Sus scrofa: one gene and its partners. The protein of the gene in region 3 purifies or fractionates together with the protein of the main gene of each other region. This does not show direct contact. Links are inferred from orthologs where the notes say so. Each region holds a gene or a part of one and is shown on either strand. Other genes may lie near its edges.

Region 1 (3,743 bases), on a different chromosome or scaffold from region 3:
TAGCCCATCACTATCCCATGCCTGCCATTAAGTAAGAATTTTTGTCCTTATCAATAATTGTAGCCTCCATGTTTCTCTCAGTTTAACACTAAGCAGAGAGAAAATCCCACTTTCCTGACCTCACTGGTCAGTTCTCGGGGTGAATGACCATCCAGAGCATTTGGAGGTCACCGGTTTCCTGATGACTCTGAAAACAGGGAGGAGAGAAGAGGTCGCCAAGGGGCGCTGCCTTCCTAAGGAAGGTACAAAATGAAACCCTAAGGCCCGAGCCTTGCTTTGGTTCTCTTCTCCTGGAGAGCGCCTGCCTGCCGGTTCTGCTGGCACCTGCTAGTCCCCAGGGCCCTTCACAGGGACTGCGGCACAGCCTTGGCGGAGATACTGGGGCTGCTACGGCCAGCAAAAGTTGGCCTCTGGTCTTGAGAAGGGCCTGGCTTACTCGAGCAGAGACCCTAGGTAAATTGTCACCTGTCAATCATTTGACCTAAATACACCAGCCACTGGGGGAAAGGCAAGGGAGGGGGTTAGTCGGAGCATGCTCAGTAATCGGGATGACATCACTTAATCAATGCTGAGGCCGGGAAGGCTGCATCAGCAGCCTAGAGCAGGCTGCCAGGAACATGTCAGCGGGGATCGGGAGGCTCCCATTAACTCGGTACCTCCCCACGCGACTCGCATACAAAGAGGGCACATCAGCTACACACACTGGGGACAGCGGAGGGGGAAGGGCGGGGGAGGAGAGGGGAGGCTGGCTTATTTCATTTGACATACTCCTTTAAGAACTAAAAATCAATGGTATTCCATCCCCCCACCAGCAGTCCGGCTGCAGAAAGGAAGCCAAGTCTGGGGAGGTGAGGGGAGGAGGGGGAAGGGAAATATGGGAAGGGAGATCGAGAGGGAGGGGGCCCTATCCACACAAAGTAACTTATTCTTTGGGAACAGAGGCGATTTAGCTACGTTCAGGACCCCCAACCCCACGCCAAACAGCGCGAAGTGTACCCAAGGGTGTTCGGACCCCAGCTGGGGGCTGCCCCATTGGGGAAGAGTCAGACCCAAGGTCCAAGTAAGGGAAGCCTGGGTTGAGAGGGAGCAGGAGGAGACACACGAGGCCCCCCGGGGACACGAAAGCCACCAGTGTTCCCCTACCCCCGGCCTTCCGCGTGCAGAGCAAGGTGAAACACCGCGGGGTCCGAGTCTACACAGGGTGCGAGCTCCAAGCCTAGGATAGGATTTTTCCAGTACCTTTTTTCCCTCTTTTACTAAGATCTTGAGAAGAGGCAAAGTGTTCGAAAAATCGAACCGATGCCTGGAATCATTTGTGGTTTACACAGCTCATACTTGAAGGGGAACCTGGGCTGGAGGGTAACCTGAATACACTACCCACGCGGCGTGGCCAGGGCGGGAAACAATAGGCCCACCCGGGCCCCCACCCCAATAACAATGGCGGCGCGGAACCCTTCCTCGCCCCCCACCCCCACCTCCGCTGCCTGGGGCCCGCCCTGCAGCCCCCAGTTGACCCTCCACCCAGCGAGGAGGAAACTACAGGGTGGGATTGGGTGGGGAGGTCTCTCGTCAAGTCCACCCTAGAGGGCAGCAGGGATGTCCGAAGGGGCGGCCTGAGCATCTCTGCCTGGTCTGGGGTGTCGGGGCGCTGAGCTGCGGCGTGAAGCAGCAGAGGAGGCCAGACATCCCGACCACTTACCCCGATCACCACGGTCTCATCGCCTTTAAATTTGGGGATGAATTTGTCCCCGCGAAGGATCTCTGCTTCGTTAAGTGGCCGGAACCGGCACATCACTTTGATGCTGCATTCGGCTGGATCCGCCATCTCGGCCCGCGGCAGGGAGGGAGCGCGGGGATGGGTGGGGGGGCCGGGGTTCCGCACAACGAGGGACGCGGTCGAGAACCGCACCTCCCGCAACAAGGCCGCCTCCTGCAGCCTCCGACAAAGCTTCTCAGCAGGTCATCGCGAACGCGGCGGGCTGGGCAGCTGTGGCCGCTCCGAGACCTCGTAGGTGAGCAACCTCTCAACCTTCGGCCCGGCCAGCTGCAGATCTGCCTTTCCTGGCGCTGCCCTGGCCCTGCGCTGCAAACCCAGGCCCACCTGCCCGCGACCACGCGGCGGGCGGACCAGGCGATGCGCTGGGAGCGAGCCTCTCCCGGCTCAGACCTCCCGGGCTCCTGCGAGCTCAGCCATCCTGCATCAGCACCAGCACGCTCTGTCGCCTCCCCGGCCCGCCCCTTCGCCCCGCCCTCCCCGGGCGGCCCCTGGGCGGTGACGTCACTGCGGAGATCCGCCAGACCCTCGCCCCGGCTCCTGAGAGAGGGGTATCCTGGGACTTGTAGTCGTTACACAGGCAGGTGGAAGGACTAAGATTTCCGGATTTGGCGTTTAAGCAGCAGTGGTGTCCCAGGTGCCACTTCCGAGAGCTTGCAGGTCTTGACTGGCAGCCCAAGTCAAGAACAGGGTGGATGTCACAGCCAATATTCCTGGTTTAAATCTCTATAAATTACCAGGTCTATATCATCTCTACATCTTTTCATGATCCCAAAGGAGAACGCCCTCTTAAGACAGTGTCCAAACAAACAGTATGGAGCTTTTTCTCTGTGCTCAACAGTTTTTAAAGGTTGTGAAGAAATCGGGGGGAAATGAGATTTCCATGAATATTTGAAGCCAGTAATTTCTGAAAATGCCTGCACATAGATAACAGTTCATACATATTTTGGACCAGGTGCTCATTTACTATCTGATGAACGTTTTACATTATAAAAAAAAGACAAACCTATACACACTTACAGATTTTTCATGCTTTTTCACAGGGTTTGGGGATAACTGACAGCTGCCTGTAACTCAGGTTAAGAACCTCTTTTTTTTTTTTTTTTTTTTGTCTTTTGTCTTTTTGTCTTGTTGTTGTTGCTCTTTCTTGGGCCGCTCCCGCGGCATATGGAGGTTCCCAGGCTAGGGGTTGAATCGGAGCTGTAGCCACCGGCCTACGCCAGAGCCACAGCAACGCAGGATCCGAGCCGCGTCTGCAACCTACACCACAGCTCACGGCAACGCCGGATCATTAACCCACTGAGCAAGGGCAGGGACCGAACCCGCAACCTCATGGTTCCTAGTCGGATTCGTTAACCACTGCGCCACGACGGGAACTCCCAAGAACCTCTTAATTACTACCAATTATAGTGCAGTTTACAGAACCACTGCCCAATACTTCCTTATAATCCTGTAGAATGAACATAATATATATAGGACCAGGTTCAAAGTACTTTGCAAAATACATCCAGACCCCATGATCAGAATTCTGTCTACTTATTAGCCTCATCTCTTGCCATTTCTTGTCTTGATGTTTACACTCTGACAAACATCAAAATATTGGTGGCTTCCTCCATTTAAATTTACTCTTGCCCTGCTTTCTTCTGATACTTTAAGGATTTACTCTCCTGGAGTCACCCATTAATGACTATTATTATTAGGTATGGATTTTAGGGCTCTTGTGGTGGAGAGTGATAAAAATTCAATAGGAGACACTGAGGCAAAAAGAGAGCTTATCAAAAGAAGGCAGATTGATCTTGTTCCCGTCGTGGCTCAGTGGAAACAAATCTGACTAGGAACCATGAGGTTGTGGGTTCGATCCCTGGCCTCGCTCAGTGGGTGAAGTATCCGGTGTTGCTGTGAGCTGTGGTGTAGGTCGCAGACACGGCTTGGATCTGGTGTTGCAGTGGCTGTGGCGTAAGCCAGCAGC
Region 2 (3,743 bases), on a different chromosome or scaffold from region 3:
GGGAAGATACAGAGTGAGACAAAGGTACAGCCCTGCAAATATCAGGCAAAACGGATCAAGAAGGACCAGCTGTGGCGTAAGATAGGATCTGAGTTGGCAGGGGCCCTGGGTCTCTCTTCATCTCTCTTCCCTCCTGCTTTCACCAAGTCTCTCCTATTTAACTGAGCAAATTAGACAGATCAACACAACTCCCAACAACACCCAGAGAGGGATGGCCCAGAGAGCCTAAAGGAGATGGTTCAGATTTACCCAGATTTAAGTCAAGGAAGATAGACTTAAAAGTGGAAGCCTTTTGTGGATTTGCTCCTCCATAACCACCTTGCTTCTATTTTCTCAAGCTTTATGGGGGGCCCTCAAGCTCTTACTTTCACAGCTAATGCCTGCTGTCCAGACTCTTCAGAGAAGAGGCCCCAGGGGTTGATCCAGGCATTCTTTTAGCCTGGCTAGACAGACCAGACTGCAAGGTCTATGGCCCTTGAGACAAAGAGAGACAGGGGCCCTCTCTATGTGAAAAAAAACACACATACACAGCACATGCACAAGGCAAAAGCACTCATTTGAGTTCACAGTGTGGGTGAGAGAGCCTGGTGACAAACTAGAGCCCCTGGGGACAAGACATGTAAGCAAATCTCTTCCTACAGCCTGTTTACTCGAAGTCCCATTCTCACTGGTTCAGAAGGCCCAGACTCCCTTCCCTTTTTTCCTTCATCCTTTTCACAAGCATTCCCTGCGCCCAGCACTGTGGATCAAAAATACATAAGATGTGCCCCTGACCTTGAGGACGGCCCTTATATGGGCCCTTCTCAAACTGGCTACAGTTTCCTGGCCCAGCACCCCTCAAGCCCTACTAGACTTGACCCCAGACCCTTTCATCCCATAGCCTGACAGTCCCTACCAACTTAGGAGAGGAGGGGAAGGTGAGGAACTCCCTAGGAATTCCTTTGGAGTCATCCCAGATAAAAGTCCAGAATGGAAATCTGTGGAGGCAATGTGATATACAGAAGGAGAGACATAAGCTTTGGAATTACAGATTTAGGTTCATATCCATGAATTAGCAGTGTGACCTTGAGAAAGTCAGTTGACTTCTTTGGGCCTCAATTGCCTCATCTGTAAAATGGAAATATTAATACCTTCTTCAGAGCGTTGTTTTAAGGATTAAACAATATATGCAGCATAATGAGCCCACAGAAAACACTATTGCTCCTTCTTAATAACGTCTCTTCTGTGGATAGGGGTTGTCATGATGAGGTAGAGGAGGTGGCTTGCCACTTTTTATTGGATTATCAAGAGATAGGATGAATAAGCAACTACTTGTTAGGATAACAGGTTTGGTTATTTTTATTTGTTAGGGTGAATCGGCGCGTCTGAAATCCTCCTCCTACTGTACCTGGGAGGGAAAGGCAGACATTTCCTTAGGACTCAGAGGCTCCTCCATCAAGCTGGGTGTGGCATCAATGTATTTCTTTCTCCGAAAACCTTTTCTCAGATCCCTGCCCTCCCCCCAAGTCCAGGCTGTAACTACTTCAAGGGATGATGGAGGCCGGGGTCCTGGAGTCCACTTTCATTTACACCTCCGCAGAGACCTTGGACTGCCCATCCCCCACCTAGCCCACCCACTAGTCTTCCCCTCCCTCCCTGGGTGTTGGAGGGTAGAGATCTGAGCCAATAACAAAGGGAAGATGCTCTTTCCCTAGGGAAGAGGGAAAACATCAGAAAAACACGGGACTGGCTCTAGGGGTGGGGACGCTGCAGAGAGCAGCAAAGGGGCGTTGGGTGCATTGATCGTGGGAAGGCAGCCCCCTCCCACTCTGCGGAGACTCGGCCGCCGGCCTGGCCAGGCCACACCCAGCCATCCTGATGCAGGGAGAGGAGGGGCTGCGGCGAAAAGGATGGAGGATGAGCAGCGGAGAGGGGGCGCAGAGACAGGCAGGAGCTAGGGCTCTGCGGAGTAAAAGATTCAGCCTCCCCGTCCCCTCTCCGAAATTCCCTCCGGGGGCGGCACTCACCCCAATAACGACGCTGTCGTCCCCTTGGAAAATGGGGATGAACTTGTCCCCCCGCAGAATCTCGGCCTGGTTCAGGGGCCGAAATCGGCAGAGCACCTTGATGCTACATTCGTTGTTGGTCTCCGCCATGGTGGTCGCCGGCGTGAGGCTGGGGCACTTCTTCGGCTGCAGGGGTCGCGAGTGCTCCGGCGGAGAGGGGCTCAGCTGAGGCCGAGGCGGAGGACAGGTGCTCGGTCTCTGAGGCTCAGGGAGCTGTGGCGGGTGACCAGGCTAACGCTAAGGAGCAGGGCTGGGCCACGCTTCCTCTCTCCTGCTGCACGGGGGATGCGGGCGACCTGGAGGTCTGGTCCTCTCTGGGCGCTCTGCCTCTCGGTCCCTCGCGCTGCAGCGCTGCGCTGCGGGCCTGGGCGGGGCGGCGATGGAGGAGCGGGGCGGGGCTTCCTTCGCTGGGGGGTGCTGCTCCGCGGCGCCCACCACCCAAGCGAGGCACCTGCGCTGTCATCGCGCCTCCTCGCCCCACCCCTAACGCTTGCTCGATTACCCTGTCCTCACCCCTTCCCCACCCAAGTCACTCTCTGCCTTCCACCCCCCACATGCCTGACCCGTCTGTCCCTCACCCCGGCCTCCACCCCCTGGAAGGGCTAAGGAGTCTGAGGTGGGCCTGTCTTCTGTCCCAGGAAGAGTCAACTGTGCTTCCATCTCCTTCATTCCAAGGCATCCTTCACCCTCATCACAGTCCTCGCTCCAAACTGGGAGCACAAAAACCCTCGCAAAGATTCCCAACCCACTGAACCTTCAAGGGCAGCTGCCTGTACCCCTATGGAAGGAAGTGCGTGTTCAAGTCCCATTTTTCAGGGTGTCAGGGGAGTTCTCCCCTTTCCCCTTCTGCGTGCAAAGATGCACTCTACTCTCTCCCCAACATACACACCAGGACCCCAATTGGAAGGAAGACAAACTCCCATTCTGTTATCAGAATTCAAAAGCAGATAAGACTCTCATTTTTTCTTCCTAGGTTGGGGCTGAGAAGGAGGTGGGCCAAGAGTAACTTTTGCAAGAAGTGAGGAACAAAGCAGTGATGGAGGAGGACTTTAGGAGTGGGTAAGGCCAGAGGGGCTTTGAGAAAGGATTTCTAGGGCAGACATCTGCATTTGGGCTTCAGGCAGGTTTAGGCACCTACGTGAGTGTGTTTCCTGTCCCAGAACTGTTGGACAGAGTCCCAACACCCCAAGCCCCTTTTCAGGCTTTTTTTTTTTTTTCCCTCTGTTTCTTCTCTTTCCCTGGCCAAAAAAAAAAAAAAAAAAAAAATGCCAAGCCTTTCTTGTCCTTCCTCCCTTTGGATCAGACTCGTGCTGCAGACCCTGGGCAGAACCACCTAGAAGCTGGCTGGATTGATTTTTCTCCACGTCACAGGGCCTCTGCTGGCCAACAGAGTTAGACTGCAGGAATTGAGGCTCTAGGCCAAGGGGAGGAGCAGGGTGATGGGAGAAGGGAGGAGGGGATGGAGGTTCTGCCTAGCAATTGTCTGGTAAGTTTTTAAGGTCACTTAGACACCATGAGGAAAGGATGAGAGAATGATGGCCTGGCCAGATAAGACCTAATCACTCAGAATGCAACCGAGGGTGTTTCCTGAGTTGAACATATGCCCCTAACCCACCTTGAATCTTAAGGAAATTGAAGAAAAGGGGTTCTGCATAAGAAACTGGATAGGAAGGCAGTAGGACTATGGAGAAAGAGGCT
Region 3 (3,643 bases):
ACGCTCTCTGCTCCCGAAGCTGGGAGCATTAGTAAAAGTTCATTTATCCGAGGTTCTTCGTGCGTTGGCGCTCCTAACTCCCAGCAGCAACCCCAGGAAGAAGGTGCCGCCCATTTTATAGATGAAAAAAATCGAGTCCCGGTAACTCGCTCAAGGTTCAAGAGCTTAATAAAAACTAAAGCTCAGTCAAGGCCCGCGGTCTCAGGACAGAGCCAGACGTGAGCGAAACACACCCACACCCCTCCCTTCCTCGCAGCCTCTCCGTTTGAACCCCCAACCTAGAGACGTCAGCGAGACACACACGCTCTCACACTCACTCCCTCGCAGCCTCTCCTGAACCCCAGCCTAGAGACGTAGATACGCTAGGACCCCTCGGCCTCCGCTCCAAAACAAGCCCGGCTCAGAGTCAAACCGTCTTTATTTCTACAGCAACATTTGAAAATAGAGAGCGACCGCCTCACCTCCCAACCTGGGCAGCCCCTCCTGCCACAGGGGGCTATCATTGCCCCTCGCAAGAAGCTGCAGGCGTGGGAGGAGGCGTGGCAGGATGGCTCTGCGGGCGGGGCCCGGGGCCGGGCCTGGGCGGGCCGGGCGCGGGGGACGGGGCAGTGCATAGGGCCGGGCTGCAGGGCAGAGCCCGGCGCTGAGAGGACGGGCAAGGGGCGGGCTCCCGGCCCTGGGGTTAGGGGCGTTGGCGGGGCGGGACGCGCCCTTCGGAGGCAGGGAGGAACGCGAGACGGCCCAGGGAACCCTTTTGCGGAGGCACCGCCCCTGAGATGTGGAGCCTGGGAGATACCACCGCGCGGAATGGGGATGATTAAGGCCTGGGCGGTACCACTAGAGAAGGGTGGGGAGGGGAGGCCAGGTAGTACCGAGGACTGAGGGGAGTGGTGCGGCCAATAACTTATTTCTCTATATACAGAAGCAACGGCCGGGGGAGGACAGGGACGCTGAAGGGAGGCCAGGTGCTTAGTGTTCTTGGCTGCGGGTGGGCAGGGGAGACCCCGGCCAGCCCCTCCCGCGGACCCTGAACCTCGGGGGGAAGGGCCCTGCTGGAAGGAATAAATAAGGGGAAGAGTTGGAGGGGCGGGCCCAGCCTCCAGGGCTCCGGCTGAGATGACAAGGGGGGAGATTACCCTGAGATTGAACAGAAAAGACAGGGGTCCTTGGGAGAGACAGGAGGGGCAAGCAGCAGGCCCATGCGCAGGGCTGGGGTGGGGACAGTGCTGGGTGGAGGCTCTGGCGGCCGGCTGCCCCTTCAGGATTAGCCCACGAGGGAGCTTCGTCGGGAAAGGTCCATGGAGCTGGAGCTGAGGGTGCGGCTATCGGAGAGGCCTGTGCCTCCGGGCTGTGGGCAGAGGGGCAGGGGGGGCTCAGGCTCAGGCTGCTCCAGGGTGGTGCTTCCCTGGCCCCAAGGGCCTGACTAGCCTGCGTCCCTGGGGCTCTGACACTTCCACCCACCTCCACAGTTACTGTGTTGGCACTGGGTGCTGGCAGGCAGGAGCTGGGTTTCCCTCCCTGGTCTCCCCAGCCCAAAGCCAGGCTCAGGATGGGGGCAGGAGGTGCTGCTGAATGAGCAGGCGCGCTCCAGGAGAAGTTGGGCAGGTACCCAGGATATGCAGGCCTTGGGCCCTGGGGCCTGGGCCTCAGCTGCCCAGTGCAGCCGCCACCCCCCCATACCTGGACTGGCTCCTCCACACTCTTGTTGAGGAAGTTGAGGGAACTGGCCCGCTTCATCCTGAGGGGAAAGGATGGTCAGGCGCGGGGGGGGGGGCTGGGGGAGGACGGGGAGGGGTCATTTGGGGCTGGGGAGGGAGCAGATCTGCTGGGTGGTGGCACTTGCGAGAGAAGAGTTCACCCTGGGTCCGGAGCCAGCTGGGGCTATTGAGTGGGTTCTGGAGAGGCTCACCGCATGGGTGGGGGGGCTCACCTGGGGTTTGGGGGCTCCTGGGGGCCACCACCCTGGAGCTTCTTCACCAGCATCTCGCTGCTGCGCCTCAGGGCATCTCGGAGCTTCCCGAAGGAGCCGCTGCGCCGCAAGGAGCCACTGCCGTCCTGTGGGGTGGACGGGTTCGTCTGCGCCACGCCAGCTACGCAGCCTCTCGGCCCAGTCCGGCCCCTACACTCACCCCGCTCCACTCGGCTGCCGGCCCGGACTCCTCAAGGTCAGCCTCAGACCGGGCCCCAGCTCCCCCGGCCACGTCTCGGCTGCCACGGCGGTCTCCCCGCCCACCACCGCCGTCTTTCAGCAGTTCCACCACTTTAGTCTGGCTTGCGGGGTCCAGGCCCTGAGGGAGGACAGGGTGTGTCAGGCACTGATTGGAACGCCTATAGGGCCACCAAGGTCCCTGCCCACAGCCCTCGTGCCTGTCGCCCCACCTGCTTGCGGCTGCGGCTGGCACAGTCCTCCAGTGTGTGTGCGGCTTCTAGCTTGCCCTGGCGCCGGTACAGCGCCCCCAAGCTGCGCAGGGTGGTGTTGACCGTGGGGCTGTGGACAGGAGAGCAGGACCATCTCAGACTCCACGCTTCCCGGGAACCAGGGTCCATCCTAACACCCAGCCCACACTGGGCCCCGCAGGACCATCCCGCCACCCCAGACCTGGCCCCTCCTGTGTGTTGGGCCCTGCGCTAGGGCCGCCTGGAGCCCCCTGTCTTGGGGAATCGCCTCAGGGCCCTAAGTGGGATGCTTCCACCAGACCTAAAAGCTGCAAGACCCACGAGTAAGGGAATCAGACTGTCCCAGCACAGCCGTCTTAGGCCAGGTGGCCTGTGAGCTGGGCCTTGAAAAGCGAGCTGACAGAGGAGGTGTGTGTTCTGGGGCTGAGTAGGGGTGGAGGGTGGAGCCTGGCCTCAGACCCCACCCAGGATGCCGCTTCCTGCCCTCTGCTCGCCCTCTGCTCTTGCCCAGGTCCTCACCTGTCTACTTTGCAGGCCTTGTACCAGCTACCATATTCCCCATAGGGTGTGCTGTCCCGGCGCTTATCCTGGGGGAAAGGTAAGCCGGAGGTGAGAGAAGGGCCCCCCCGACACCCCCCAGCCTCCCCCCCACCACGGACACCCGCCCCAGCCCTGCCCCGCACAGCTACCTTGCTCTCCTCCCGCTCCTCTGCGTGCATCCAGATGGGCTTGTTGTCCCCTGAGGGGAGAAAGGGGGGCTGTCACCAGTCTCCCTGGTTGGGCTGGACACAGGACTAGGGTCTGGAGGAGGTCAGGGGTCCCCAAGAAGGACCAGGGTTTGGCTTCGTTGAATGAATGAGTGGACAAGAAACAGGCCCGAACCGTTACTGAGCCTCCTCCGGAACCCGCAGGCCTGTGCCTCAGGGGCCTGCGACAGCCCAGGACAGTGCCTGCGACAGCCGGGGACAGTGCCTGAACGATGGGCCGGGCTGAGGGGTCCTGGAGTAGGAAGTGACTGACCATCAGGGGCTAGAAGGTGGATTCCTGGAGTGGGAGACATTTGGGCTGGGCCCTCACGGTGAGCGTGAGGTGCCCAGTGGAGAAAGGGGAAGCCAGGCTCTGGGCCAGGGGCACAGGGAGGCGAAGGGTGGGTCTCGCACGGGTACAGCTTCCTAGGGGGCTGTGGGAGTTGGGTGTGTGTGCTCCCGTGTGCCCACACGTGCCTCTGGACCAGCCAGACCCCAGG

What was found.
Region 1: the proteins of KLC2 (region 3) and KIF5C purify together in Homo sapiens (affinity purification with western blotting; 3 studies listed by BioGRID and IntAct, with this or other methods). This does not show direct contact. The link is inferred for Sus scrofa from reciprocal best matches to the Homo sapiens genes KLC2 and KIF5C.
Region 2: the proteins of KLC2 (region 3) and KIF5A purify together in Homo sapiens (affinity purification with western blotting; 3 studies listed by BioGRID and IntAct, with this or other methods). This does not show direct contact. The link is inferred for Sus scrofa from reciprocal best matches to the Homo sapiens genes KLC2 and KIF5A.

The regions. Positions count from the first base shown.
Region 1 is NC_010457.5:3,359,201-3,362,943, forward strand, and holds the start of KIF5C (kinesin heavy chain), read right to left. Parts: upstream 2,271-3,743; 5' UTR 1,826-2,270; coding exon 1,700-1,825; intron 1-1,699. UniProt on the Homo sapiens protein: Microtubule-associated force-producing protein that may play a role in organelle transport. Has ATPase activity. Involved in synaptic transmission. Mediates dendritic trafficking of mRNAs.
Region 2 is NC_010447.5:22,815,529-22,819,271, reverse strand, and holds the start of KIF5A (kinesin heavy chain), read right to left. Parts: upstream 2,412-3,743; 5' UTR 2,136-2,411; coding exon 2,007-2,135; intron 1-2,006. UniProt on the Homo sapiens protein: Microtubule-dependent motor required for slow axonal transport of neurofilament proteins (NFH, NFM and NFL). Can induce formation of neurite-like membrane protrusions in non-neuronal cells in a ZFYVE27-dependent manner.
Region 3 is NC_010444.4:6,116,836-6,120,478, forward strand, and holds the end of KLC2 (kinesin light chain 2), read right to left. Parts: intron 3,137-3,643; coding exon 3,087-3,136; intron 2,985-3,086; coding exon 2,917-2,984; intron 2,489-2,916; coding exon 2,380-2,488; intron 2,289-2,379; coding exon 2,130-2,288; intron 2,056-2,129; coding exon 1,931-2,055; intron 1,739-1,930; coding exon 1,681-1,738; intron 1,349-1,680; coding exon 1,265-1,348; 3' UTR 401-1,264; downstream 1-400. UniProt on the Homo sapiens protein: Kinesin is a microtubule-associated force-producing protein that plays a role in organelle transport. The light chain functions in coupling of cargo to the heavy chain or in the modulation of its ATPase activity.